4 linked regions of the Stegostoma tigrinum genome follow. The protein of the gene in region 1 purifies or fractionates together with the protein of each later gene. This does not show direct contact. Links are inferred from orthologs where the notes say so. Each region holds a gene or a part of one and is shown in the gene's direction. Other genes may lie near its edges. The genes, in order: SRSF protein kinase 1-like, ddx5, putative RNA-binding protein Luc7-like 2 and rnps1.

What was found.
Region 2: the proteins of SRSF protein kinase 1-like (region 1) and ddx5 purify together in Homo sapiens (affinity purification with mass spectrometry; 3 studies listed by BioGRID and IntAct, with this or other methods). This does not show direct contact. The link is inferred for Stegostoma tigrinum from reciprocal best matches to the Homo sapiens genes SRPK1 and DDX5.
Region 3: the proteins of SRSF protein kinase 1-like (region 1) and putative RNA-binding protein Luc7-like 2 purify together in Homo sapiens (affinity purification with mass spectrometry; 3 studies listed by BioGRID and IntAct, counting the BioPlex papers as one, with this or other methods). This does not show direct contact. The link is inferred for Stegostoma tigrinum from reciprocal best matches to the Homo sapiens genes SRPK1 and LUC7L2.
Region 4: the proteins of SRSF protein kinase 1-like (region 1) and rnps1 purify together in Homo sapiens (co-immunoprecipitation; 5 studies listed by BioGRID and IntAct, counting the BioPlex papers as one, with this or other methods). This does not show direct contact. The link is inferred for Stegostoma tigrinum from reciprocal best matches to the Homo sapiens genes SRPK1 and RNPS1.

What each region holds. Positions count from the first base shown.
Region 1 is NC_081374.1:21,669,226-21,677,002, reverse strand, and holds the start of SRSF protein kinase 1-like, read left to right. Parts: upstream 1-4,758; 5' UTR 4,759-4,837; coding exon 4,838-4,853; intron 4,854-4,980; coding exon 4,981-5,041; intron 5,042-7,777. UniProt on the Homo sapiens protein: Serine/arginine-rich protein-specific kinase which specifically phosphorylates its substrates at serine residues located in regions rich in arginine/serine dipeptides, known as RS domains and is involved in the phosphorylation of SR splicing factors and the regulation of splicing.
Region 2 is NC_081375.1:10,865,611-10,872,726, forward strand, and holds the start of ddx5 (probable ATP-dependent RNA helicase DDX5), read left to right. Parts: upstream 1-4,113; 5' UTR 4,114-4,456; coding exon 4,457-4,500; intron 4,501-5,044; coding exon 5,045-5,216; intron 5,217-6,087; coding exon 6,088-6,184; intron 6,185-7,116. Other genes in the region: trichohyalin-like, read right to left, coding at 3,615-3,813. UniProt on the Homo sapiens protein: Involved in the alternative regulation of pre-mRNA splicing; its RNA helicase activity is necessary for increasing tau exon 10 inclusion and occurs in a RBM4-dependent manner. Binds to the tau pre-mRNA in the stem-loop region downstream of exon 10.
Region 3 is NC_081391.1:3,031,280-3,038,559, forward strand, and holds the start of putative RNA-binding protein Luc7-like 2, read left to right. Parts: upstream 1-4,267; 5' UTR 4,268-4,516; coding exon 4,517-4,577; intron 4,578-6,131; exon of another isoform or gene 6,132-6,220; intron 6,221-7,280. UniProt on the Homo sapiens protein: May bind to RNA via its Arg/Ser-rich domain.
Region 4 is NC_081376.1:32,312,544-32,319,888, reverse strand, and holds the start of rnps1 (RNA-binding protein with serine-rich domain 1), read left to right. Parts: upstream 1-4,334; 5' UTR 4,335-4,467; coding exon 4,468-4,469; intron 4,470-7,345. UniProt on the Homo sapiens protein: Part of pre- and post-splicing multiprotein mRNP complexes. Auxiliary component of the splicing-dependent multiprotein exon junction complex (EJC) deposited at splice junction on mRNAs.

The sequences.
Region 1 (7,777 bases):
AGATTTTCAGCAAGTAAAGGTTATACAGCAAGGAAAGGGCAAAATGACGGCCAATCCTAAATGTAAAGATCATAATCTTAAATTTGAGGCATGGGTGGAATCAGTCAGCAAGATAGGCTGGGGATTAAGTAGTTTCACCTTAGGATGCAGGCAGCATAGCTCCGAATAAACTTGACTTTATGGAGTTTGAAGGACACATAGTTATCCAGAAGAGTTGTGTGCAGAAGTGACAAAAATAATATAAGCGAATGTGCCAAATAGGTCAGAGGTAATCAGAAGGAGACTGACAGTGCTTTTTGTGAAGGATAGGATATATAATTGGAAACTCTGAAGGGACTGAACAGGTTGCCAAGGTCTTGAACAGTTTGTTTCAACTTAAACCAACAGCCAGGGAGGAGAATGAAGTCGGTGTCATGGATATGGAGTTTGTGACAGGGCCAAATTTGATAACTTGATAGCTGGAAGAGATAATTGCTCATCCAAGACTGGAGGTCAGACAAGGAATATGTTAACACAGAAAATGAAGAAGGGACAGAGGTAGATGAGGGCAAAAGAAATGATGAAGTGATAGCCAAAGTTGATGGCCATGAGATAATTCCACTGTGATGTTGCAAGAATGGCAAGAGACTTTATTGCTCAAGTTAAGGGGGTCATAGCTTCTCCCTTTCTTGGCCTCCTTTCAGTCAATCACAACAAATATACAAGTACACAAGAAATATATTTTTGTTTTGCTTCTCTTTTAGCATCTAGCCATGACACTTCAATCAACTTAGTTAACCCAGATTTAAAATGGAGAGCCAATTCTAGTGGTTTCTTGAGTGAAGGACAGTAGTGTTTTAGTACATCAAAGAAATAACGAAAAGTGACAAACACACGGACAAAAACACTGCTGTGAACTTACAGAGAAGGTTAGAGGTGAATCTGTATTTAATATAGGTTGGGAAATAAAGGCGAATGTTAAGTTATAGTTTTCCAGCGTCTTCGAGTTGTATGAAGGCAGTACGACTGAGATGTCATTGGAAGAGGTTCAGGGATTCCCCCATGTCATATGTTGCAGATGTCAGGAGAGTAAACAGATTGTGGTACATGTATGGATTAATTAATGAATTTATGCCAGTGGGATAGATTCATTCCTGCCATAGGGATAGAAATCAGTACACAGACTGATCTTAAGGGACTTGATAGGACAGGCTGTTTCTCCTTGTGCAAGAGTCTAGGACCAAAATGCATATTCTCATAAGGGGTCACATGTTTAAAACAGAGATGACAAGGAATTTCTTCTCTCTGAGGCTTGCAAATCTGTGTAATTATTTATTGCGGAGGGCTGTTGAGGCTGGGTTGTTAGGTATAGTCAAGAGGAAGATAGATTTTTAATCAGGAAGGAAATCAAGAGTTAAGGAAAAGGACAGTGGAATTGAGGATTATCAGATCAGTTTTGATCTCAATGAATGGTGGAGCAGGCTTGATGTGTTAACTGGGCTACTTCTGCTCCATATCTTATAGCCTGTAACTTGTACAGTGCAAATATTACTTGCCACTTGTCAGCCTAAGCCTGAATGTTGTCCACATCTTGCTGCATCTGGACATGGACTGTTTCACTATCTGAGGAGTCACAAATGATACAGAACATTGTGCAATGAGCAGCAGTCATCCTCATTTCTGATATTACGATGAAGGGAAGGCCAAGAGGATGGTGGTGTCTTTTCCCAGCTCTGGTGCAAAACCATTTATCTGAAACATTAACTGTTTTTATTTCCACAGTATTACAGAGTTGTTACTGAGTAGAACGAAGCCATTCATTCCTGCACTGGGTCTCTAAGAGAGCATTTGATTTAGAGTCATTTCTCTGCATTCTCACCAAAATCCTACACATTGTTCCTTTTCATTGTTCTGTCTAATTTGCTTTTAAACATCTAAATTGAACCTGTCTCCATCACTCTCCAGACAGTGCATTCTGGATCTTAACTACTCATTGCTTGACTTATATCACTTTTACTTCTTTTACTAATTAGTTTAATTACGTGCCTTCTTGTTCTCCAATCTTTCATGAGTGGAAACATTTTCTACTAATTTACTTTGTCCAGTGCTGTCATCATCTTAAGTACTTCATTCAGATCTCCTCTCAGTCTTCTCCTCTCCAAGGAAAGCAGTCCCAATGTCTCCCATCTATCTTCATAACTGGAATTCCTCATTCCTGGAATAACTCCCATAAACATAATCTATAGTTCCGCGAATGCCTTCATTGTGAATGCCTATTTTGTGAGTTATGTGCCCAAAACAGACATGGTACTTAAGCTGAGACTGAATGTAAGTTTAGCATATCCTACCTGTCTTTACTCTATTTCCCCGATTAAAATAAAAGGTGTGTTTTAATAGCTGGTCACCCTTTGTGACTAAAAACATACACAACCAAGTTCCTCTGCTTCTGCACTCATTTTAAGACCATAAGAGCATAAGACATAGGAGTGGAAGTAAGGCCAGTTGGCCCATCGAATCCACTCCACCATTTAATCATGACTGATGGGCATTTCAGCTCCACCTATTCATACTCTAACCGTAACTCTTAATTCCTTGCGAGATCAAGAACTTATCAATCTCTGCCTTGAAGACACGTAACATCCCAGCCTCCACTGCGCTCCGTGGCAATGAATTCCACAGGCCCACCAATCTCTGGCTGAAGAAATGTCTCATTTCCATTCTAAATTGACCCCCTCTAATTCTAAGCCTGTGCCCACGGCTCCTAGTCTCCCCGCGTAACAGAAACAACTTCCCAGCGTCCACCCTTTCTAAGCCATGCATTATCTTGTAAGTTTCTATTAGATTTCTCCTCAACCTTCTAAACTCTAATGGATACAATCCCAGGATCCTCAGCCGTTCATTGTATGTTAGGCCTACCATACTAGGGATCATCCGTGTGAATCTCTCCTGGACACTCTCCAGTGTGGCCCAAAATTAGACACAGTATTCTAAATGGGGCCTAATTAGAGCTTTATAAGGTCTCAGAAGCACATCGTCGCTTTTATATTCCAAACCGCTTGAGATAAACGACAACATTACATTCACTTTCTTAATCATCAACCTGCAAGTTAACCTTTAGAAAATCCTGGACCAGCATTCCCAGATTCCTTTGTACTTCAGCTTTATGAATTTTCTCAACGTTTAGAAAATTGTCCATGCCTGTATTCATTTTTCCAAAGTGCAAGACCTCGCATTTGCTCACATTGAATTTCATCAGCCATTTCCTGGACCACTCTCCTAAACTGTCTTAACTCTTTCTGCAGCCTCCCCACCTCCTCAGTACTACCTGCTTGTCCACCTAACTTCGTATCATCGGCAAACTTTGCCAGAATGCCCCCAGTCCCTTCATCCAGATCATTAATAAATAAAGTGAACAGCTGCGGCCCCAACACTGAACCCTGCGGGACACCACTTGTCATTGGTTGCCATTCCGAAAAAGAGCCTTTTATCCCTAATCTCTGCCTTCTGTCAGACAGCCAATCCTCAATCCATGCCATCAGCTCACCTCGAACACCATGAGCCCTCACCTTGCTCAGCAGCCTCCTGTGAGGCACCTTGTCATAGGTCTTTTGGAAGTCTAGATAGATAACATCCACTGGGTTTCCCTGGTCTAACCTACTTGTTACCTCTTCAAAGAATTCTAACAGGTTTGTCAGACACGACCTCCCCTTACTAAATCCATGCTGACTTGTTCTAATCCGGCCCTGCACTTTCAAGAATGTAGAAATCTCATCCTTAATGATGGATTCTTGAATTTTACCAACAATCGAGGTTAGGCTAATCGGCCTATGATTTTCCATCTTTTGTCTTGATCCTTTCTAAAACAAGGGGGTTACAACAGAAACTTTCCAATCATCTGGGACGATCCATGACTCCAGTGACTTTTGAAAGATCACAACCAATGCCTCCACTATTTCCTCAGCCACCTCCCTCAGAACTCTAGGATGTAGCCCATCGGGGCCAGGAGATTTATCAATTTTTAGACCTTCTAGCTTTTCTAGCACTTTCTCTTTTGTAATGCCTACCATACTCAATGCTACCCCTGACTCTCCTTAATTGTCCGGATATTACTCATGTCTTCCACTGTTTTAGAGTTGCACCCTTTACTTCAAGTTGTCTCTCCAGATCTTCCTTCAAAAATGCATTGCTTACACCTGTATTTTGAATTTGCCACCTACCTGCCCATTCAACATATCCCTGTCTATATCCCTCTCGAAAGTGCTACACTACTCTCCCTAGTTTACAATGCTTCCAAGTTTTGTATGATTTGCAAATATTGAAATCATACCCTTCACAGCATAGTCTATGTCATTAACGTACATCACAAAAAGGAAAGGGCCCAACACTGATTCCATCCCAAGCCTTTGCCTGATGGGGAGAAAATCCATTAAGCATTACTCTCCCCCCCGCGTCATTCAACCAATTTTGGAACTATATTATTACTGCACCTATCATTCCACAAAGTCCAATACCGCCTGAACTACTGAATATTTCCAGAAATTACTCTAATGATAAGAGAATTTGCAGATTTAAGTAAGGACACTCCAAAAACTTGGACACGAAGAACCAAAAATATCAAGCGCCTCAACTAACGTCGACTGACGGCAGTGCTAACAGGAGGTTTGCCCACCACCTCGCGGTCGGAGGTCGGAACAGCAGCCGGGGAACGGGCCCCCACCCCACCTGGCGGTCAGAGGTCGGAACAGTAGTTGGTGGGTGGTTCCGGGTGGGGAGGAGGGGCGGGATAAGAGAACGATAGTTAGAAAAAGCAGTGGGTTTGCGCTTGCGCGCTGGTGATTGTGTGGGGACCGGTTCCAACATGAGCTCCCGAAAAGGTGAGGGAGCCTTTCAGCCGGCTTGGCCTTACCGGTGGGGTGGTGTAGTCACAAACATCCGTTTTGTATACCCTCAATTACCGCTCTAACCTTCTTCCTTCTCTTTCGGATTTTTCCCCCCCCCCAGTTCTGGCTCTGCAAGCGCGCAAGAAGCGAAGCCGAATCAAAAAGGAGAAGATTCTGAAGAAGTGAGTGGGGATGGTTTCGGAGCCGGGGCTGCTCGCACTCTGTCGCCCGCCTGCTGGCAGCGCCAGGCCGAGGCTTACGCTGCGGCCCGGGCCTTGTGGGCTGATTCTAGACCCTCACCTATTTCTCCTGCCCCCCCCCCCCCCCCCCCCCATCCGCCACACACCTTTCCCCATTGCGACCATCTGGTCGGTTCTTGATTTTGTTGCTGTTGCAGCGTCTGGTTTGGGATCTACTGTGTGGATGGATGGATGGTAGTTGGCTGGATGGGGGTTGGTGGCTTGGGGTACAGGGTTGGAGAGTGTTTTTTTTAAAGCCGTGTGCAGCCCACAAAGAGCCTTTCATCCACGCAAGGCGATTGACTTTTTTTTTACTTTGAAAGTTTTATTACGTTCCATTGACAAAAAAGTGATACATAAACGTGGATTGAGTTGTTGCAATCTGCACAAACTTTGCGATTAATTCTCGTTCTTTTTCCTGTAGTTGAGTTGTTCAATATTTTAATTTTTGCTGAAGCCACAGAGAGGACATGAGTTTTTTGAGAAGTGAGGTGGTTGAGGCTGTGATTTAAATAAACCTCTTCTGTTTCGTTCTACTTTCTACAGTCAAGTCTCTGGTTTCTGTTGTTTGAAGACGTGTTTGCCACTGCGCCGTCAAAGTTGTTGAGGGTGTTTTGAAGCTTCCAGAGGGTATATTTGAAATGGCCTCATATTGACTGGAGTCATGAGGTTGAGGTTGAGATATCTAGGAAAACCAATTAACAGGTTGAGTAGAATTGTAAAGTGGCAATGATGTCTTCAAGTATGATGAGGTGATCTTATAGAAAGATGGTTGACCATTGGTTAGGTGGTCTTGAGCAGGCTTTTTACAGTAAGGGATTTTGGTGAAGGATGCTATTCCTGATGTTGACCAAGAGAACATCGAAAAAGTTAAGTCTGCAGATGATTCAGATCTAGACCAAACTTTCTACAGCTAATAAGGTAGGCCAGAGATTGTTAATGGTATAGAATTCAAAATTATTGGTGCATTAGGATTTAGCACGCTGTGTTTGGTCATATAGTGTTAGCTGAAGCAAATCTGTTTTTGACAGGCTAGCTCTATAGGTTATGATTGTCCAGTCAGTTAGGTAACTGCACTCTGATCTTTCAGGGTATTGCTTTTGAAATCTGTTCACGATCATTTTGCAGCTTGGTAACCATGAAAACAATTTGCTTCTGTGATGTGGGATCATAATGTGAGTTACATCACAAAGCAGCTTTAACGGATCCATTTTCTTAAAGGGCTTTTGAAACTGGATGTAAAAAAGGCTTGTTATTAATTGGAATACTGATAGAATGTCTTGATAGATATGTCTTGATGTATTGTTGAAAGATAACTTACTGTTCCTTGTCAGTTCATAACCTCAGTTACTTCGATTCAATGTGGTTATGATGAGCACTTAGCAGCTGTGGAACTTAAGCCCTTTCCACTTCTGTGAAGTGCAGCAGGAAACTTTTTGCATGCAGAAACAGGCTTTCTGCCCTACTTCCAGCAAAATAAATCCCATTGGATTTTGACTTTTAATTCCACCTTGTTTAGTTCCTCAAGCTGTATCTGGCCTCCTGGATTGGTAATGTTGAACTGCTGTAATGGTGGGTATGTGCAATATAAAGGGCTATGTAAAGGTTTTTCCCCCTTGTTTGGCTGTTTATAAAAAAGATCAAATACCAGAAAAAATTCAGAATGAATACTCCTGTGTTACCATTTTTGCTTCAGTGTATTTGTGTGGTGATCTGAAGGCAATATCACTTCATATTTTGGGCAGCAGTAGAATACAGAACAAATACTACTTTAAGTACAAAGAAATACAGGAATAAATCTAATGAAAACATTCCAATATACTGAGAAACAAAAACATTCTCTTTGAGGTGGAAATCTTCATAGCGAGGTTATCAGTTAAAATACCCTAAGAAAATGGGTTATCAGTGTAAAATCCTTTGTCGTGAATAGTTGAATAATTTGCCTCTTCAAGGAAAATTGGATAAACTGTTGAAATGAAGATTTCTCTTCAATTAGTCTGACAGAGCTAGTACAGTTGCAGGAGATTAAACTCTTCTAAGCATGGTTCTAAATATTTTATACTTGTGATTGCAACAGTTTTCTAGTGTTTCTCCAGAATGAGCAGAATACATCAAATCTGTCAACCTCTAGGCAGAATCCATATTGACTTATGGATCTTAGCAATTTTTGGGTTGTTTAGGTTGGGCATGTAGACTGACAATATCTTTTTTATAATAAAGAATACAAGGGGCAGTTTTATAAGAAGTAGAAATGTTGCAAAATAACCCAGGAAATTCTTCCGAGATGCTCCAAATCCATTGGCATAACTTTACTGGAAGTGGAGCAGAATGTCAGCTTGTGCATGTAAGTAAAGGTCCTGTTGCACTTTATTGAAGTGGAAATGGCTCCAAGGACTTTTCCAACCAAATATGTCAGTGAGCAGACCAAGTTGGGTGATAGTTTTAAAAAAAAATCCAGTTTTCAGCTTGAGCTGATACACTGTCCTTAGAGTAAATTCAAAGGAATTACTCATGGAAATGAAAGTGTCTTGCTACTTCAGTGATTTCGCAAAATGCATTGAAGTGTTTTCACTTATAACTGAAGATTTAATTGGCACCAATAACTGCTGTATTTTAATCTGTCATTTTAAATCTGTTGCTTTATGACTATTATAGACAGTGGATTTCAGGAAATTTGAT
Region 2 (7,116 bases), on another chromosome or scaffold:
TAAAATTAAGCTTCAAAAAATTCAAAGGCAATAAGTTGATAATTTAGTTAATAAAAAAATCACCATTAAAAATACAAAATGACAAAACTCATTAATAAAGCCAAATTTTGCCAAACAATAAGATGTAGAGGTCCGGAGAGGAGAGAACGAGAGAGAGAGAAAAAAATCAGCCCCAATTCTTGATCACTGGGGTGGTGGTGCTGGCTGGGACCAAGCACTGGGTGAGGCACACACTGAGCAGACCTAGGTAGAACTGACAAGAAAATGGAAGTTGAAAGGTGACTTTCAGCATTAGATTTGCTCTTCTCGTCCTGCTTTCCCTCCATCTTTTCCTTCTCCTGTACTCACCCCTTTTCCCCCTTTCTCTCATCCCTTCCCCATCCTCCATACATCCTCTCTTTGTCATTCGTTGCACACATTTACTTCAAAAAAAATCCATGGGAGTTTGTAATTCAAAAATTTCCGTAATCGTTATCCTATTAAACATTTTACACTGAAATAGAAAGTGTGCAATTTGTTTTTCATTCCTCTCCACTGCAACAGCCTCTCCCCCAGGATACTTTGATATAATCTGATAAAACAGATTTCTGAGTAAGGATTCCTATTCTTCTATCATGTGCGTACAAGCACAGGGTTCAAACTAATTAGAGCATCAATTGGAATCTCAGTATCTTGACCGAACAGGCGAAAAAAAAGGATGCAGTAATACAAATCAGGAGAGCAAAAAGCTAAATCAATGTGCAATATTTTTGGGAAAAGACAAATTAATAGGAATGACACAGCAACCTAACTATCAATCCTATTAAACCCTCCTGCCATCACAACCTGACATTGTTCCTCTACACAATCAAACTCCCACTGCCTTCTCCCTGTGTTGCGGCACATGCCCTTCAAGCCAAAATCTCCTTGAAAGCCTTATATTCCCCAACATGGCCTGTGAAACCACTAGCACAGCTTCCATGCCTGAGGCTGTTTGCAGCTGCCAGTAAAGCAAATGTCAGGCCACATGAAATGCTTTGGCAGGTTGTGCACAGCACGCAGTGCAAAGAAGTGTACCTCCAATTAGAAGACACCAAAGATATGGTAGTGTTTTGGTCCATGGATGCAGGTACTTTATAGAAATTCTAGTGACAAGGCATAAAACTGGGTAATAATGCTGGATTATACTTTGTAAGCTAGTGATATATTACTACGCCTCATGTCTCACGTATTGAAAAGTGTATGACTGCCATGAAACATTGGCTACATAAAAATAAATACATCAAAATGAAGACCTAACTAAATTATGCTGTAGGATGCCAGCTGTTTTTCAATTAACAAATAATTTTTCCACATGCAAGCATGCATTAAGCATTTATCCTGCCTAGCTGCTCAACACTGCAATTTCAAAAGAATCTATTTGTAAATCAAATTATTCTATCTCCTTGCACATCTAGATCTGACATAAAATTGAGCATCATCTACACTCTAGTACATAAATGGGTAAACATTAAAACTTAGTTAAAATCCCAGTGATCTTGGATTGCTAAATTTCCTCTAGTGCTTCAACTAGATTTGTGAGCACTGTTCCAAATGTAGATGCCCTTTGGTAGTCAGAAAGCAGCCTTTATTTGCAGTAACGATGAATTAATGAACTTTACTGTCTGCCTAAAATGGTTATGTAATTATACCTGCTTAAAGCTAAACAAAGCTTAAGAATCAAGTGACTTGTTTAATCTTTACATTTTGTAACATCCTGATGGGTATATTTAATACCAACTGGACACATCCACTTTAGAAGAGCTTATCAACTGGCTTCAAACGTATACACAATTTGACAACAGACTTGATGGTAAAAATCAGAGAGCATGTTTGCTGGTTAGTGTGACTTTTGCACTTATTCATGAGACGTGGGCATCACTTGTCAAGCCAGAATTAATGCCCATCCTTCGTTATCCTTTGAAGGTACTAGCCAGCTACCAAGCTGAACTGCTGCAATCTATTTGGTGTAGGTAGTCCTACAATGCTTTTCAGGAGCAAGTTTACACATTATTTTATTGGGGAAACCACATGCTCTGGCCTGACAACTGGTGTTTTCTTGTCCATCTGTTCTACATTAGAGTAATGGAAAAAAATTAGGGAGAATACACAGCCAACATGTTCCAATAATGACAAAAAGTGGGACCAACACATTCTATGAACCCTGGAGACCAAGGAATATATAGGATTGAATAAAAAAAAGCTTATGGTCTATCAGGAGGGCTCAAAATCCCACAAGAACAGTACAGAATGTGCAAGGGAAATTTTATCAGCCAGAGGGTGGTTAATGTGCAGAACTCATTGCTGCTGAAGACAGTGGAGGCCAAATCATTGAGTACATTTTAAGATCGAGGTAGATAGCCTCTTAATCAGTACAGTGAACAAGGATTACAGGGAGAAGGCAGGAGAATGGGGTTAAGAAACTTTTCAGCCATAATTGAATGGTGGAACAGACTCAATGGGCCAAGTGGTCGAATTTTTCTCCTATATCTTATAGAAGACATTACTAATGATTGGTCTTGAAGCAGATCCTAACCATCTACTCTACATTCATCCAACATTCCACTTAAAAATAATCATTGACTGTAGTGTTCTTGAATTTGCAATTACAAAAGCTAACACATATGAATTTACTGAGATAGCAAGAACTGCAGATGTTGGAGTCAAAGATAACAAAGTGTGGAGCTGGAACACAGCAGGCCAGGCTGCATCAGAGGAACAGGGCAGCTGACGTTTCGGGTAGAAATCTTCGCAAGGATGGAAGAGCAGTAATGGGAGCAATTGAAAGAACCCTGGGAAACAGAGCTTGGCTAGAATATGTTACGCCACAACCAAAACGGAAGGCGCAGTACCACACTCATCTGAGGCGAAGGCGAGAGGGAGTAAAACCAATCGATTCCTTTTAAAAGGCTACTACTAGCCTCAACTCCCTCTAAGTAAAAAGTTGTTTCGGACATTATACCAATTCGTCCAAGTGCATTAAATCTCGGGGGTTAGGGTGACTGGTTGGAAAGAGATATGAGGCGCTGCAAGAACTGGTATTAATAGGAAAGTATTGTATAAAGAATAACTGAACTGTAATTTAGTGTTGGACTGGCAATCGTATTAACAAATAGCATTAGGGTCACTGGACTCGAAATGTTAACTGGTTCCCTTTGCAGAGACGCTGCCAGACCGCTGTCTCTCCAGCATCTTTTGTTTTAATTAAAAACATGCTTGACGAGGACCTGCCCGATATTTACTTTAACCGATAACAGACGCCTCTAAACAAGCTTCTGGTTGCCTTGACACTGTTGGTTGGGTCAGGAAGCTCGAGTTCGATTTATAATGACCACCACACGCAAATATTTCATATTACAGTATATGAAACGAATGGTTTTCCTAGTGTAAAAGTAGACTATAACTAAATACATCGTTATATATGGGGAGGGGGAGCTAGAAATAAGATAATTTCTTGCTTGACATAACTCAAATCATTTCAGACAAAAAAAGTGACAGTTAAAAGACGTGGCAGTAGACTTGATTTTAAAAAAATCAAAACACTAAAACACTGGGAAAGTTTGTTGGGAAAGTTGTCAGCGCGGCTGCTGGCCTACAATTGAAGCCGATTCGACTGCGACCGACCTCTCTCGTCCTGCTCCTCCATCGCCAGCGGTACGGAATAGAAATTCTTTCTCCTTCGACTGGACGCACAACAAATATAAAGTAAGAAACACCAAATAGCTCAGTCGAGTCGGAGTTACAATTAATCAGTTTGTTGTCAGTCCACTGCCATAGCCCCGGACCCTTGTACATTTAAAACGTCTCCAGCCGCCCATTGGCTCTGGGCATGACGTCACCAACCGCCCACCCGCGGAAAATGTCATTACTCCAAGCGCCGCCCCTCGCCTTTTTATTATCACTTATAAAAAAACACAAATACACACTCCCCCCACCTGTCACCGGCAGCGTTCATGTGAATATTTTATTATTTAATCATCGTCCTTTTCGTTTGCTTCCTACCCTCAGTGTCGTTTCATTGACGTCACCCTGTCGCCATGGGGAAGAGAGAGCTCCCCTCCTCGCTCATTTGTAATCGTCAGCGAGGCAAAGTAGGCCCTGTCATTCGAAGATGGGCGATGAAGTTTCGTTTAAAGTCTTCCCTGCCGCCAGAAAGCTGGAACAGCTCGATTCTTGAACAGTGGGATAACGATATGAGGGTGTTGAAGTGACAAAGGGGTCCGGAAATATTTGGGTCAAGAAGTAGCTACGTAGATTTGAATTGCGGAGGGATATGCGGAATGAGTTCCGGGCTCCCCCTTGCCGGCTTTGACTAAAGGCGGACAAGGAACCGGCATTTTAGTTTCGGCTTTCAACCGGCTTCCTCCCTTTCCCACAGTCAGCTCCATATCGAGCGTCAAGTATCTCGTTTGCAGTCCTGTCCTCCACTTTTTCCGCGATGCCTGGTTACGATAGAGGTGATCGGAGTCGGGAGCGTGGCGGGTGAGTTTGTGATTTTTTTTTCCCCCTCTTTCGAAAAACGCACCTTCAGTTTTTTTTTAATCTTCAATTTTTTTTTGGAAAAGAAAAGCCGGTTCCGTTCTGGAGGATGAGAAGAAGCCACCGCCACGCGGTCCGCTTAGGCAAAATCCTGGCTGGTGTGCGGAGCGTGATTTGGCATTTTTTTTAAAAAAAAAGCAAATTCCTTAAGGAACTTCAATTTTTTGGGAGGGGGTTCTAACCAATTAAACATTCTTCCGCTTTGCCATTTTTATTTTGGTCTTGCCGTAGTCTGTTTTTGTTTATTTGTATATTTCGATGCTCTGTTTGACCTCGTGTTACAGGTTTCTTCCTTGTATTGTAGCTAAAATGGCCGGGAGATGCTGTTTTTCGGGGGTGGGTAAAGCTGATCGTGGATGTTGGAGCTACCTTACGGTCTTGCGTCGATAGCCTGTTTTTTTTTCAGATACACGTCTGCTATCGTCTGTCTTTCTCTCTTTTGTTTGAAAAGCGTAATTTTTTTTCCTGTAAAAATATTACATTCCAGGTTCGGTTCGGGTGGACCTCGCTTCGGTGGTAGCAGGAACGCGCCTCCGCCCGGCAGGAAATTCGGGCAGCCGGGGGAGAAGCTGAGGAAAAGAAAATGGGACCTGGACGAGCTGCCCAAATTCGAGAAGAACTTCTACGTCGAGCACGTAGATGTGATGAACCGACCTGTGGTAGGACTGGCTGGCTTTTTTTTTCCTCCCCTCTACCCCTAAACCTTTATTATAATTCCATGTAGTCGTGAGATATACTCGTAAAACTAAATACTGTTAGTGCCGGACAAAATGGTAATCCTTTCATTTAAGGGAGACTCTAAAGGGAAACAATGTGCTTTGACTTGGCAAAGGTGGTGGAGGATGTTGGGCTGACGTTTGTAGCTGATGGGGTTATTCTTGAGTGAGCCGGTGATTCATTCCTATTAGTCACTAAAGGGCGATCTCTGCCCGCCCACTGAAATATACATAACTGCTGAACAGATAACAGTAAATTTTTAGTGTATTTTCAGCTAATGTTTGGTATCCCCCTGGTGGACATCTTCTAACAGACAAGGGAAAATTACAGACGTATACCTTTTTTAGCCTTTTCAATGAGGAAGTATTAATCAGTGGTTCTTGTACTTGTTTCAATCAGTTGAACTTGGGCTGATTAGTACATCTGAGCTTTTGTGTCTATGGAGGTTTTTAAAGCTTTCAGTTTTCCTATTTTTGGATACATATTCACCAGTTATGTATCTTAAACTGTAAATTGATTACTGTGGGATCTCTACTGTGAAGGATGACACTGGAAACAAAAGCAGAAATTACCTGAAATTCTGTAGGTCTGGCAACACCAATGGAGAGAAATAAGAGGTGATGTATTGGGTCTGGTGACCCTCCTTCAGACTGAAGGAAGCTTTTTCTGCAATCTCTGCTTTTGTTTCTGACTTTTTTAGGTTTTATTTTATGGTTGGAACACTCCCTAATTGACTAGGGTTGGGGCTAGATTTATGGATTGCACTTTTTTACACAAATGTTAAATTGGATTTGATGCTGTTGTTGATTGCAGCAAGAAATTGAACAATATAGAAGAAGCAAAGAAATCACAGTAAAAGGACTTGCATGCCCTAAACCAGTTTTCAACTTTGTCGAAGCAAGTTTTCCAAGTAAGTATGGAATACAAGTGCATTAGAACATCTTCTGTGACTATACAGTTTAAATTAGAGGCAAAGCTGTGCTTCTATTATAAGTCAGTTGTACAGCAGGGAAATGGACTATTTAGTCCACACTGACCGTGCTACCAAACTGAACTAGTCCACCTGCCTGATCTTTCCTAAACATGAACTCAGGAAGGATAGTTTTCTAACTTTTATGAACTCTTGCTCTCTAGTTTAATAATTATCCTTGCTTTGGCATGATGGTCAGAACTGTATACAGTACTCCAAAAGAGGCCTCAACATCCTGCACAATCTAAACATGATAGCCAACTCCTTTACTCGGAAGCCTGAGCAATGAAGGCAAACGTGCTAACTGACTTAACCAACCTGTCTACATCTAACAAAAACAGAACCTGCTGTAAAAGCTCAGCAGGTCTGGCAGCATCTGTGTAGTAAATATCAGTTAACATTTTGGGTCCAATGATCCTTCCTCAGAATGTGTGAACAATGTCTACATGTGATGTGAATTTCAAAGAATTAGGTACCTGAACCCCTACATCTGTTCTACAACACTACCCAGGGCCCTACTGTTAATTCTATATGTCCTGTCCTTGTATAAATGCAAAACCCCACATTTATCCAAATTAAACTGTTTGCCACTCATCAGCCCATTGATTCATTTGGTCAAGATCTTTGAAATCTTAGATAACTTTCTTTTCATTGGCTATTCTGCTACCAATTTTAGTGTCATTTACAACTTACTAGCCACGTTTGTGATACACTATTTTCTCTATGTAAAACCATCCCTAATCAATTCTGTGTCTCCAAATGCATGAAAATCCGACCTTTCAGAATCACCTCAACATACTTACCGCTGATGTTAGACTTGCAAGTCTATAGTTTCCTGCCATCTCCTTACAGCCTTTATTAAACAATGACAC
Region 3 (7,280 bases), on another chromosome or scaffold:
TGGTGTGGATGAGTTAGACCTAAGGGTCTCCATGCTGCACATCTCTGTGATTCAAAATTATTTTTTTTTAAAATGAGGCCGAGCAAACAAAACAAAAGTGAGCTCTCTGCCTTCTATTATAAAGGGTTTTCCTGTTTTATCTTACAGTGTCATAGAGTTAAACAGCATGGACACAGACCCTTCTGCTCAACTCATTCATGTCAGCCAGATATCCCAAACTGATCTCATTCCATTTGCCAGCATTTGAACCATATCTATAAACCCTTCCTATTCATGTACCCATCCAGGTGCTTTTTAAATGTTGTAATTGTACCCGCCCCCACCACTTCCTCTGGCAGCTCATTCCATACACGCACCGCCCTCAGTTTTAAATCTTTCCCCTCTCACCTTAAACCTATGCCCTCTCGTTTTGGATCCCCCCCACCCTGGCAAAGGTTCTTGGTTATTTACCCTATTCATGCCCCTCATGCTTCTGTAAACCTCTGGAAGGCCACCCCTCAGCATGGTCTCAAGGTTAAAGAGCTCACAACACTAGTTTCCCATATCATCGCAGAATAATCCCTTCCCTAATCTGGGTATGCAGTTTGAGATTATTGGGTAGTTACTATAGTTCTGATCCTGCCTTTATTATACCTTCAGATGACGACATATGTAGCAGTCAATATCTTTTTTCTGTAAATTATAGTAATGCTGCACCAAAATGTAATCCTGTGAAATTTCCTTTCTAACTAAAATGGTGCTGCAGTACTCAGCCATTGAATGTAACAATAAGGCAGCATCTACGTCAATTTTCATTTCCTTGTCATTCAAATCAGTCAGTGATGCACTCACTCCAGCAAACGCTGGATTAACGTAACATGAAAGTAAAAAAATGCTGGAAGTTCACACCAGGTTAAAGATTCAGGTCTGTGACCTGATACAGGAAAGTTACAGAACTAAAACTGGGTTGACCTGATAAATGTTTACAGCAAGTTCTATTTTTGTTACAGATTTCCAGCATCTGTAGTGTTTTGTAATAAAATGTTGAAACAGATTGCATCTCAATAAACTAAGGTTAAATAGCAAATAACCTTCAATTATCATTGGTTCCTGGCTCCCTATAGCCAAATGACCAATGAAACCAAGTGCCAAACAGCAAAGACATAGACAGAGAGATGGAATTGTAGGATCTGACACTCTAGTTTAGTTTATAAACATTTCCCAGGCTCTGGAAATTGGCTTGTTCCAGAAAAAATGTAATAAGAACTGTGGAAATAAATTGGGAAAATTCCTGTCAATACAGGATCTACAAATATCACTCAACATGATTGACATGCCATCCTATTTATTTATCGTGTCACCTCACTCCCAACTTTTATTCCTTCCCTCTCCCATCACTCTGTATCTCCTTTCCCCCATCCTCCTTCCCTCTGTTACACCTTTAAATCCTGTTGACAGCCTTTCTCCCTTCTGCTCATCTCACTGTTTCTTTCTCCTCTAACCCTCACACTTCCTGTTCTCACTCTGCCACCCCATTCTCTTCAATCCACAGTCAGCCTCTCCCAGCTCCTGCCCATCTATCATCTTCCCACTCATACAGTTACAGAAATGTACAGCATAGAAAGAAACCATTCAGTCCAACTCATCCATGCCAACCACTCATGCTGTTGCACACATTTGCTGTCTTTTCTTACTCCACGCTTGCATTCTCCCCTTGCTACACCATTCATCTTTTGCATCTGTGGTTCCACCTCCTCATCTTGTCTTTCACTTGCTATTCTCTCATACACGGTATCTCAGTGGTTAGCACCGCTGCCTCACAGTCCTGGGACCCAGGTTCGTATTCCATCCTCGGGTGACTGTCTGTGTAGAGTTTGCACATTCTTCCCATGTCTGTGGGTTTCCTCCCACAGTCCAAACATATGTGCAGGTTAAGTGGATTGGCCATGCTAAATTTCCCATAGAGTTTAGGGATGTGTAGATTGGGGGGATGGGTCTGGGTGGGATGCTCCAAGGGTCAGTGTAGACTTGTTGGGCCAAAAGGCCTGTTTCCACACTGCAGGGATTCTACGAATTCTGTGGACTCGCTTCATCCTTCTGCTCCCTCTCTTTTCACTTTTACACTTTCCCTTCATTTCTGTCCTACACGCACTCTGTGGACGTCATCTTTTACCTTTCTCCTCATCTCGATCCCAATGACCTGAGTCCTAGAAGGAAAATGACATATACTAACCTGACATCTCATATATTCCAAAATGGAGTTGCAGCGAGACCAGAGTATTTATTTTGAAGCATTACTGATTTTTGTCTGCTTTCTTTCCCGCTTGGCCGCCTTCATCATTATTCCCTTAGGCAATTTAGAAGTTCTTCATACTAGTGGTTAGTGCTGAGGCAGCAATCTATAAAATTTCACTAACTGTGCCATTAAAAAACATGGCCGTTAGATCTCATTTCATTCATGGGACATGGACATTGTTGGATGCCCTGGATTTATTGCTTGTCCCTAGTTGCCCTCAAGAAAGTGGTGGTGAACTGCTTTCTTCAATTATTGTAGTCCATGTGCTTAGGTAGACCCACAATGCCCTTAGAGAGGGAATGCCAGGATTTTGACCCAGCAACATTAAAGGTATGGCAATATATTTCCAAGTCAGGATGATGAGTGGCTTGGAGAGGAACTTGTAGGTGATGGAGTGGTGTTCCCTATATCTGCTGTCCTTGTCCTTCTACATGGAAGTGGTTGTGGGTTTGCAAGGTGCTGCCTACAGATTTTTGGTGGATTTCTGCATTGCATCTTGCAGATAGAACACGTTGCTGCTACTAGGTATCAGTGGTGAGCAGAATGGATGATTGTGAACGTGGTGCCAATCAAGCAAGGCTGCTTTGTCCTGGCTGGTATCAGGCATCTTGAATGTTATTGCAGCTGCACTCATCCAGCTGGTGGGAGTATTCCATCACACTCCTGACTTGTGCCTTGTAGATGGTGGACAGGCTTTGGGGAGTCAGGAGGTGAGTTACTTGCCACAACATTCCTATACTCCGACCAGCTCTTATCGTCGCTGAGTTTATTATCAATGGCAACCCCTAGCAGGATGAGTGTGGCGGATTCAGTGCTGCTAATGCTATTTATTGACAGAGGGGCAGTTGCTACATCATCTCTTATTGGAGATGGGCAGTACCTGGCATTTGTGGCATGATGATTACTTGCCCCTTGACAACCGAAATTGGATATTGTTGCATTCAAACATATAATGGGGACAAATGTACAGCAAAGATTTAATCACATCACCATGTAGCATCTGTGGGGAATGTACAATAAAGAAAATCCATTATGGTCACTTGTACTACAATACAGAGGTATAGGAGCACAGTGGAAACTTTTTCCAATGACTGCCTTTTAACGGCGTCATCTTCCATACAAGTACCTGGGTACAAATCTTACAGAGTTGAAAAAAAGTGTTCTTATCCAAACAGCATTAAAGGAAAGTATAAGCATTACTTGCAGATGTAGCTAACACAAAGTGATAAGGTTTTAAATTACAGTCCAATAACAGAAGCTCAGCACATGCCGCCAGGCCCAAATCCAGCAATTGTCCTGCATCACTCCAGCCTCCAGTCCACTCCTCACCGGCACTCAGCAGCAACAAGGTGAGTCATGCTGTACCTCAGCCCTTGTGTTGCTCTCAGGCTGCCATCTCCCGCATGTACCACTGGCCCCTGCGACTCACTGCCTGTGCCATGCTCCAGGGCTACTTCCCTATATGCTGCTGTGGGGCTCTTCCCCGCGCTGCTCTGGAGCTCGCAGCCCGTGCACGGCTACAGGACTTGCAGCTCTGGACTTGCTGCCAGCTCCGATGCCGAGAGGAGAGAAGATAACAAAGGGGAAAGAAAAGGAAAAAGAACAAGCAGAGCAGAGAAGCTCTGACAAGGAAGCTGGTGGATCATGGTAAACTCATTGCCAACCATTTCCAACATAAGGTTTCCTGCCAGTTGGGTTAGCTGTTACCAGAAATGATGGGGTAGGAAGATTTTGGAATTTATTTTGTTCACCAATCATTAATTCCAATGAGCTTGCCCCTTTAACTGGTCTCTCGCTCTCGCCCCCTCCCCCGTCCCAAAGAGGAGGAAGATGCCACTTGCAAGAATTTTGGGTCGTTACAGAGTAAAATACACAAAGTCCAAAAGGAGAAGTGTCTAGGAACCAGCAGTTGCAACAGTCGGACTGTTCCATTATTTGCCTGGTCCCCTCCCCTCCCCATGCAATTTTTGAACTTGGTGGCGTCCCCGTCACGAGCCGGGGCCGTTGGCCGTGACGTCAGTTCCGGCCGAGCGGCTCGAGACGAGGGCGCAGAGCTGGAGCCAAAACAAGAGGCGGAAAAATAAAATAAACCTCGATGCAAACCAGTAGCTTTGGACGTTTTAAAAGGAAACAAAAAAATCTGCAGCAAATCGGACCACTTTAGTAGCTAGCGGTATCTGTTTTTTTCCCGGCTTTAAAAAAAATTGTGCGGCGGATCCTGTAAAAGCCAGAGGAAAAAAAATGTCGGCACAGGCCCAAATGCGAGCTATGCTCGACCAGCTCATGGGGACGTCCAGGGACGGTAAGCGCGTTAATGGCAAACATTTATCCTTACTACTGTTGAAAACCGAATGTTTCCTTGTTGAATCGCAGTAAACATGTCCGCTGTGAAGAATCCGGCCAATATGGTGGAAAGCAGCCGAGAGTCCCCCTGGCTCCGCCCTGGTGCCCCGCCCCACGTGCATGACGGGCGCGACTCGGCCAATGGGTGGCGGCGTCTTGCCGGAGTGACTGTGGACTTGTCCAATGGGTGGCGGCCTTTACCTGCAGTGCCGGCAGTCTACGCCAATGGGGACGTGCGCGCTGGTAAACGGCCAATGCATGGAGGAAGGAGGGGCCTGGCGGGGGGCACGATTCGGCGCCTAAATGGTCATTGATGGGGCAGGGGTCAGCCAATTGGTGTCTGAGGCTATGGTGTTGGGTGGGTCATGGAGACTTGGGGATGCCTCAGGTGATGGTTCCTGAGGTGGGTGAGTCAGGTCTTTAAAATGAAATAAAGAACTGCCGTTGACATAAATTTGAAACAAAGACACAAAATTGCTGGCAACACTCAGCAGGTTTGACAGCATCTGTAGGAGGAAAGCAGATGAAAAGTTTCCGGGCATGAAGCATTAACTGTTTTCCTCCCACCAATGCAGTCACGCAGCCTGAGTTTTGCAAGTAATTTCTGTTTTTGAGTCAGTTCTTTGCCTTTCTCTCTGTCGGGAATTATACCTTCACAAGGGGCAGCTTCCATTGATCTGGTTCATCACTCCTCCTTGATCACGTAGTCATGTAGGGCATGCATTTACAAATTCAAGATCAAGGGAGATTATGAAAGAAGTTTGGGAAGACAAAATCTGGAATTATTTCTGGAGTTGTGTGGTAGAGTAATTTTCTTTTGATTTACAAGTTAATATCTCTCTTTTGCAATTCCCATTTTAGTTCATGTTTCCAAGTGGTTTCATCTATAATAAAGCTTCCACTTTTTTTTTGCATCTCGCAAATAAACTTTATCATACACCTGTGACACATGATATGCTGGCTGTAAGTTGCTGCTACTCTGTTCCTAGTTTTTTGGGTCATTACAGAGTAAAAAACACAATGTGCAAATGTGTTAATGTTCAAAGGAGAAGTCTCTAGGGACCAGCAGTTGGACTGTTCCATTCTTTGCTTGGTCTCCTCCCCTCAAGAGTCATTAAACACATGCATTGTGTCCAAAGTACCTTTATGTAGTTTCATGGTTGTTATCAATGACAAGATTCATACAGTACTTACAGCCTTCTTGTTTAACTGGTACAGTCATCACCATTGTCTTTGAAATCATTCTTAGGTGATCAATATGACTTCAAATCCCATGCACTGATGAAATATCTGACTTGGGCGAAGGTTTTTTTAATTTCTGATCTTGATCTGTATCTTTCTGCAACGCTATGGATCATACTCCGTGTATGAACAATCATAAAGTCTCTATTGCATCATTAGGGCCAAAAAAAATTTAGAAAGCAACCAGTTAGCAAGGATTAGGTCCAGCATTTGATAACCCTTTGATTTTTTTCTATATTTCTTTTGTCTTTCTAAATCTTTGTTTAAACAGTGAGTGCTGAAGACATCGGGGGTAAATGGCTTGGAGAGGAGTTACCAACGGTATGAGGGAACTAAATTAACACACATACAACTGAAGTGGTGAGAGTCCCTCTTTTAAAGTCACCATAACTCCATTTGTCTGTCACTAGTGAAGACAATCTGATAATTCCCAAGTAACATTACTTGAGAATGTAATGAGAAGTAAATTGTATTCTAGAACTATACTAATTTCTGATTAGGGATAACTGCTGTTTTGATTAATCATTTTACCTAATTCACAGAGGGAATATGGAGATGTCCTAAAAATACATTTGTTTGTCAAAAGTGCACTAAAATGAGAAAAACAAGTAAGTTTTCTTTGAAAACTTCGTTTGAAATTCGTTGCATCACAAGATGCAGGTTTTGGGATCTTTAGGTTTGTTTGCTGGTAAGCGATGGAAATTTTCGTATTCATTTTTTAATAGGGATTTCCACTCACAAGATGAGTCTGATCCTGAAAAGTACATCTAACTCTTGTAATCCAAATTAGCCCAAACAATAAAGCCTAAGCAAGTCCTGTTCAAAGGCAAGATACTCCGGATGCTGGAAATCTAAAATAAAAGCAAGTAGTGCTGGGCATACTGAGGTCAGTTGCAGCTGTGGAGAGAGAAACAGTTCACGTTTCAGGTTGAACTGACTTTTCATCAGAAGTTTCATCTAGACGTGAAACAATAACTTTCTTTTTACCGATGCTGTAACACCTGTTGAGTCTTTATAGCACGTTTTCTTGGTATGCAATTCCTGCCATGTTGTACAGCTCAGCTAATTGACTGAAGTCAATAATGCTGTAAGTTTATTTTGTTGAAGTTTATTATTAAAGCAAGGTATGGTAGAATTTAATGGTTGGATCCACAATCTTTTTTCTCTGTATTTAGAAATTTTTCATGTGGAATAAGAATTCTTTAAGCCAATTGCTCTGTTAAAAAATGTTTGACAAATGCACTTAATGATTGGCACGCTCAGGTGTATGTCATGCCAGGCTAACCTTTCAAGGTAAATGTAACTTGGCCAATATTCTACTGGTCCTGCGAGTTAAAACCACCCAAAGGCTAGTTAATTTGTCATGGCTTAATAAATAATTGCATGTAGCTATCTTGGTATTGCCTCGTGCATAGTTTCA
Region 4 (7,345 bases), on another chromosome or scaffold:
CAGATTTTTTTTTCTGTCAAAGAATCTACCACACATCCTATGGACAATCTTTTTTAACCACCACCAAGTCATCCATGTTACAAATTAAAAGAACAATTTAACAAGTACTACACCAGGAGCAGTGCAACAATAATAAATGGGAGGGGGGGAGAAACTAAACTAAAATGGAGTTGAAGGGGGAAATAATGCACTCTAACTCCTGTGCTGCTCACCTCACTTTCAGCTACTTAACAATTCTAATCGTGTAGAATCCAATAAGTCTCTCTTTCTATGATCAATATAGATTATAAATAGTTGAAACCCTTATCTGTTCCTTGTGCCATTCCTGTGGTTACAGCTGTTTATTTCTATATTTGTTTTCTGTCTATTAGCAAATTTTCTATTCATGGTAATGTATTCATGCCAACTCCATTAATCCTTAGCATTTAAATGATCATTTGTGATGCACCTTATTGAATACAGTTTGGGGAATCAAAGTATATCAAAGTGCATTGTTAAGATGTCCTCAACAATAAATTCTACCATATTCATGACAATTTATGTTGGGCTTGTAATTCTTATTTTCTCTTCCCTCCTTTCTTGAATAGCAGTGTTACATTTACTAATCTGTTAACTCAAACCACTGAGACCTTGTGGAATCTACAGGACTTTAAAATCAAAACTAGGGCATCTGCTATCTCTGCAGCCACCCTAGCTCCCCACAAATGTAAGCCATCAGGTTCTGGAGATTTGTCAAGTTTTAATTCCTCAAATTTCTTTAATAATTTCTGCTGCAAACATGAATTATTCAAAATGTCTGATTCTTATTAGCTCCTTGGTTAATCTCTAGCTTTGAGGTATAATTTGAGTGTTCTGAAGGTAAGTTAGACAAAATATTTATTCAATCCGTCATTCCTCTTGAGAATGAATTTGCTTCCTTGAGACTTTTACAAGCCAAATATTTTCTCATTGCGTTTTGATCGTCATTTGATGGTTTCCAAAAATCCCCCAATTCAAAGGCTTGCTTGTATTTTTCACAACAAATATGCCATTTCTGTAATACCATAAGTGTTCAAGCCCAATGTCTCGGGCACATAATTTGGATTGACACTCTGTGCAGTCCTGAAGGTGGTGCTATACTGTTGGAAGTGATATTTTCAGGGGAAACTTTAAATTGATACCCAAAAACAAAAACAGAAATTGCTGGAAAAGCTCTGGAGGTCTGGCAGCACCTGTGGAGAGAAATCACAGTTAATGTTTTGGGTCAAGTGACCCTTCCTAAGAACTCCGATTTCTGTTCAACAGCTGCTGCCAGACCTGCTGAGCTTTTCCAGCAATTTTTGTTTTTGAGGTTGGTGACTTGCTTGCGGAGCTGGTTGGCTATGATACAGACATTTCGTGACCATGCTAGGTAACATCAACAATGTGGCCTGCGATGAAGCGATGTTGTTCTACCCTGCTGGGTATTTATATAATTTGGTCTGTTGAGGTGGGTTGTGTCATTTCCGGTTTTGTTCTGCATGGACTTGTATATGGGGTCTAATTCCATAAGTTTGTTAATTGCATTACGGGTTGAAAAACAGGCCTCTAGGAATTCCTGTGCATGCCTGTGGTTGGCTTGAGCTAGGATGGCCATGTTGTCCCAGTTAAATTGATCACAAGAAATCACAGTTAATGTTTTGGGTCAAGTGATTGCTACCGTGATTCCTAGTGGTCATAGGAGTCTCAGCAGTTCTTACATCTTCTTGATATAGAGTAGTGTGGCCAGTGTATTGGGGTGTATTGTGTCCTCTTGGCACTGCCAATCTAGTGGGCACCTGTGGGTGAAGTTGTTGGAATATCTGTTGTTAGCAAAAGACCTTGTATAGGCGCTGTTCCTACTTCCTGCGTAGTTCTGGCATGTTGCATTGGTTCGTGGCCCATTTGAATAGTGTCCTAGATTTGTTTGGGGTGATTGCTGTGGAAATTGAGGATTTGGTCAGTGTGGGCTGCCTTCCTGTATACTGTGGTTTGGAACTCCCCATTGGTCACTTGTTCTACCCTCATGTCGAGAAATGGAAATTGATTGTTGTCTTCCTCTTCTCCTGTAAATTTGATCCCAGTGAAAATGTTGTTAATGAGATCGTGTGTCGCTTCTAACTTGGTGCGTTTAATGATGACAAACGTGTCGTCCATGTATCTGGTCCACAGTTTTGACTGTCAGGCGGCAGGAGTGGGGGTTAGTGTGTTCCAGACCTTGTATTGACTGCCCCTGCAATAAGTCCTGAGATGGGCGACCCCACAGGTTTACAATTGATTTGTTTGTATATTTGGCCATTAAAGATCAAGTGTGTGGTGACGCATAGGTCCAGCGGTCTGAGTATGTTGTCCTTGCTGAAGGAGCTGTTTGAAGTTCAGTGTTCCTGCTGTATCCAGTAATGTGGTACGTCAATGGACATGAATAGTGCTGTGACATCAAAGGATACCATAATCCCGTCATCATTGATTTTAATGTTCTTGAGGTAAAGGGTTGAGTGGATGGAGTGAGGTGACCATCCTGGTTCAAGCCAACCGCAGACATGCACGGGAATTCCGAGGGACCAAGTATTTTACCCTTAAAGCAATTAACAAACATGTGGAATTAGACCCCATATACAAACCCACGCAGAACAGAGCCAGAAATAACACAACCCAACTTAATAGACTGGATGGTACAGTGGCTCAGTGGTTAGCACTGCTGCCTCTGAACACCAGGGACCTGGGTTTGATTCCAGCCTTGGGTGACTGAGTTTGTGGAGTTTGTACATTCTCCCTGTGTCTGTGTGGGTTTCCTCCAGGTGCTCCGGTTTCCTCCCACTGTCCAAAGATGTGCAGGGGAGGTGTATTGGCCATGTTACATTCCTTATCATGCCCTGGCATGTTTAGGTTACGTGGGTTAGATATGAAAAATGCAGGGATCGGGGAATGGGTCTGGGTGGGAATGCTCTTTGGAGGGGTGGTATGGATTTGTTGGGCTGAATGGCCAGCTTCCACACTGTAGGGATTCAATGATGATCTTGTGTGAGATACCAAATGGAGTAGAACAACACCGCTTGATTGAAGGAACTGATATGTTACCTAGCACGGTGACAAAACGTGTACATACACTGGGCAAGCTCCCAGCCCGAGCTACAAATCTTTGCAAGTTTCTGATTTACACCAACTGCAGGTCTTCCGTTTTCTTTAAAAAAAGATTAAATTGAGACCCTCGTTTGCCCTCTGGGATGGATTTCACAACATTTTTGGAAGACAATCAGGAGCGTGCCCTCCTACATTTTTCCATCCCCACCCCTGTCTGCTTTCCGGAGAGACCACTCTCTCCGTGACTCCCTTGTTCGCTCCACCCTGACCTCCAACCCCACCACACCCGGCACCTTCCCCTGCAACCGCAGGAAATGCTACACTTGCCCCCACACCTCCTCCCTCATCCCTATCCCAGGCCCCAAGATGACATTCCACATTAAGCAGAGGTTCACCTGCACATCTGCCAATGTGGTATACTGCATCCACTGTACCCGGTGTGGCTTCCTCTACATTGGGGAAACCAAGCGGAGGCTTGGAGACCGCTTTGCAGAACACCTCCGCTCAGTTCGCAACAAACAACTGCACCTCCCAGTCGCAAACCATTTCCACTCCCCCTCCCATTCTCTTGATGACATGTCCATCATGGGCCTCCTGCACTGCCACAATGATGCCACCCGAAAGTTGCAGGAACAGCAACTCATATTCCGCCTGGGAACCCTGCAGCCCAATGGTATCAATGTGGACTTCACCTGCTTCAAAATCTCCCCTTCCCCCACCGCATCCCTAAACCAGCCCAGTTCGTCCCCTCCCCCCACTGCACCACACAACCAGCCCAGCTCTTCCCCTCCACCCACTGCATCCCAAAACCAGTCCAACCTGTCTCTGCCTCCCTAACCTGTTCTTCCTCTCACCCATCCCTTCCTCCCACCCCAAGCTGCACCCCCATCTTCTACCTACTAACCTCATCCCACCTCCTTGACCTGTCCGTCTTCCCTGGACTGACCTATCCCCTCCCTACCTCCCCACCTATACTCTCCTCTCCACCTATCTTCTTTTCTCTCCATCTTGGGTCCGCCTCCCCCTCTCTCCCTATTTATTGCAGAACCCTCACCCCATCCCCCTCTCTGATGAAGGGTCTAGGCCCGAAACGTCAGCTTTTGTGCTCCTGAGATGCTGCTTGGCCTGCTGTGTTCATCCAGCCTCACATTTTATTGTCTTGGATTCTCCAGCATCTGCAGTTTCCATTATCTCTGAGTGCCCTCCTACGCCGGGTTCAGCGCATATCCCGACCCAACGACAGTGCAGCGTGCTCTCTCACTCCCCCCGGTGGTGCTCACCAGTATCGCAAATGTTTGTGTCATGACGCAGCGTGCGACGGGTGACGCGGGTTGAGCGGGACGGTTTTGCGGCCCAGGCAGCGGCGAGCGAGAGCGGATCGAGAGCGGAATGTGAGTGGACGGGAATCCATGTCCATCGGGGCCAGGGGCCGCCTGACTGCAGCGACAGTTGGCTTCTCGCGTTCGGGGTGGACTGTGTTCACTGCACTGTGACGGCTTTATAAGGATGAATAGCCCTTTGTACAGTTGGAATCTCGGTGTAGAACGGAGCCCGAGGCCTAGTGGAGCGAATCTTATTGATTAGTGGGGAGGGGGTTGACCGGGAAATTCTGCTATATCCCTGGGCCTGTTGTTGACACCTGACCCCGGGGTTGTCCCGCTAACAAGCCTACCTGCCATACTCAAGCTGTTTCCTGTCTTTCCCCTCTTACTGAGGTGGTTACTGGGACACCTTCCACACACCCATGAATACTCCCAATACCTCACCTTGAACAAGTTGGGTCCTGTCAGTAGGAGATTATTTAAGGAATTAGTGAATGTAACATTGTAAATATTAGATTAACGATGGAAAAGGACAAAGAACAAACCAAAATAAAAAAAACTTAATGAGGTGGGCCAGTTCTGGATAAATTAGAATCATATACTGTGATTAAACTCTGGGCAGCTGTTGAAGATAATGTACTTGAGGTACAGTTGTTGGAAGTAGATTCCTCTGATGGAATAATAGGATAAACAAAATACTGTCTAATCAAATAGAGAAAAGATTGATGTCTACTTGGTGTAGTATCTTTACCATAATGAGGTCTGAAAGTGCCTCATAGGAGTATTCTAAAACTAAATATGACCATAGAGTTATGTAAGGAAATATTAAGTAAAATGATCAAAATCTTGGTCAAAGAGATTACAAAGGTGGAAGGGCTAATGACTTGGAAGGATTTGAAAATGAGGGTTTTTAAAATTCATCACAGGATGAGTGTGTTGCTGGCTAGGCCAGCATTTACTGCCCATCCCTAATTGCCCAGAGGGCAGTGAAGTCAACCACATCTGCCTGACAAGATAAGGATGTCAGTTTCCTTCCCTCAAGGACATTAGTGAACCAGATGGGTTTGTCTGACAACTGATGATGGATCATGATCATCACTAGACACTTTCCCAAAATGTTTAAAAGTTAAAATTAAGATGTTGCTTGACTGGGAGCAACTGAATTTCAATGAACACAGGAGTGACTTGCTGCCAGTTAAGAAATGAGCAGCATAGTTTTGGATGATAAAAAGTTTGTGAAGGATAAATTGGGAGACCAGCCAACAAGCTTGTTGGCATATTAAAGCCTGACAATGATGAAGGCAGGAATATAAAACAGTAGAAGAGATGTGTGACAAATGTCATGTTGATAATACAAGTGAGAATCAGCTGCTTTGGAAAGGTCAGAGGGGAAATGAAAAAGGAAACAGAAGGAATGGGAAGAGACTGGCAGCTATCGTTAAAGACCACCCAAAACTATTTAAATAGTGAAAGGATGATAAAACAAGACTATTCCCATTTTGAGACCAAAAGAGAGATTTATGTATCGACATGAGGTGCTATGTAAGTACTTTGCACTGGTCGTTACTGAAGAAAATTCTGTGAAAGTCATCAGCCATCTTGTCATAACGAATGGCAAAGCAGGCTCAAAGGGCTGAATGGCCTATCTTTGCTCCTATTTTTGTGTATTTTTATATTTCTAAATGGAGGTGGGTGAGATGATGAATGGGCCAAAAATTGACAAAACCTGGCGGTCTTTAAAGTTGCTAAGTCACCAAGACTGGAGGAGATGTATCCAAGTATACTGGGGGAAGTCAGGCCAAAATTTGTGGAAGTGCAGGTCATAATCTTCTAAACTGCTTTCAGAGGTGATGGCATGGCACTGGAGAAATGCCAGTGTTTGACTCTTGTAGAAAAATCTTGTAAGCATGAACTCAGCAATTGCAGGCCAGTCATTTTAACCTCAGTGTTGGGGAAGCTTTTTAAAAATAATAATCTTTGAAAAACTGAGTAACTTGAAAAAGTTAATTAATTAAAATCAACAGAGATATGTTAAAGGCATATCATGTTTAAATTATTTTGATGAGGTGATGGATAGTTAGAGAATATTGCATTTGCTATGGCATGCATTGACTTTAATATGTTTGGTAAAGTGTTACAAAATAGGCATGTCAGCAGAGTTGAAGGCCATGGAGTATAGTTAACAGCAGCAGCTTGGGTGCAAAGTTGGCTTAGTGAGATGATCGTGGAATTGGAGCTTACACAGTGGGTTCTCTAGGAGAGTCATTGTTAGGACCATTGCTTTTCTTGACTGTATTAATAACTAGAATAGTTGGGGGCACAGAGCATAATTTCAAAATTTATAGATATCACAAAATTGGACATTGGAGTGAACAGACATGTGGAATATGAAATTTATTGCAGGCAAGTGGAAAGTATCTTAGTAAGAAGAATGAGGAGAGGCCACAGAAAATAAAGGGTATAATGTAAGGGGGAGCAGAAACAGAACTGCGTATATATCTATAAGTCATTGAGGGTGGCAGGGCAGGTTGAAAAAGTAATTTGAAAAGGTATACAGGATCTTGGACTGTATAGAGTACATAGGGAAGTTTTGATGAACTGTCATAAAACTCTGATTTGCCCTCAATTTGAATATTGTGTATTCTGGGCAATACATTTTAGGAACCATTTGATGGCAATAGAGAGAGTTTTGAAAGGTCCATAAACATAGTTCCAGGAATGAGGACCTTCAGTTACATGGAGAAGTTACATTGGAGAAGATAGATTGGGGCTATTTTCATGAGAGAAAATTGAGAAGACATTCAGTAGCAATGCTCAAAATCAGGAAGGGAAAGAGTAGACACAGGACAGAGCATTTAGAAACTTACCTGTTAATAGTGTATGTGCGAATTAGAAGCGAATGATTTAAGATAATGAACAAATTCATAAAAAGCAAGGCAGCATGA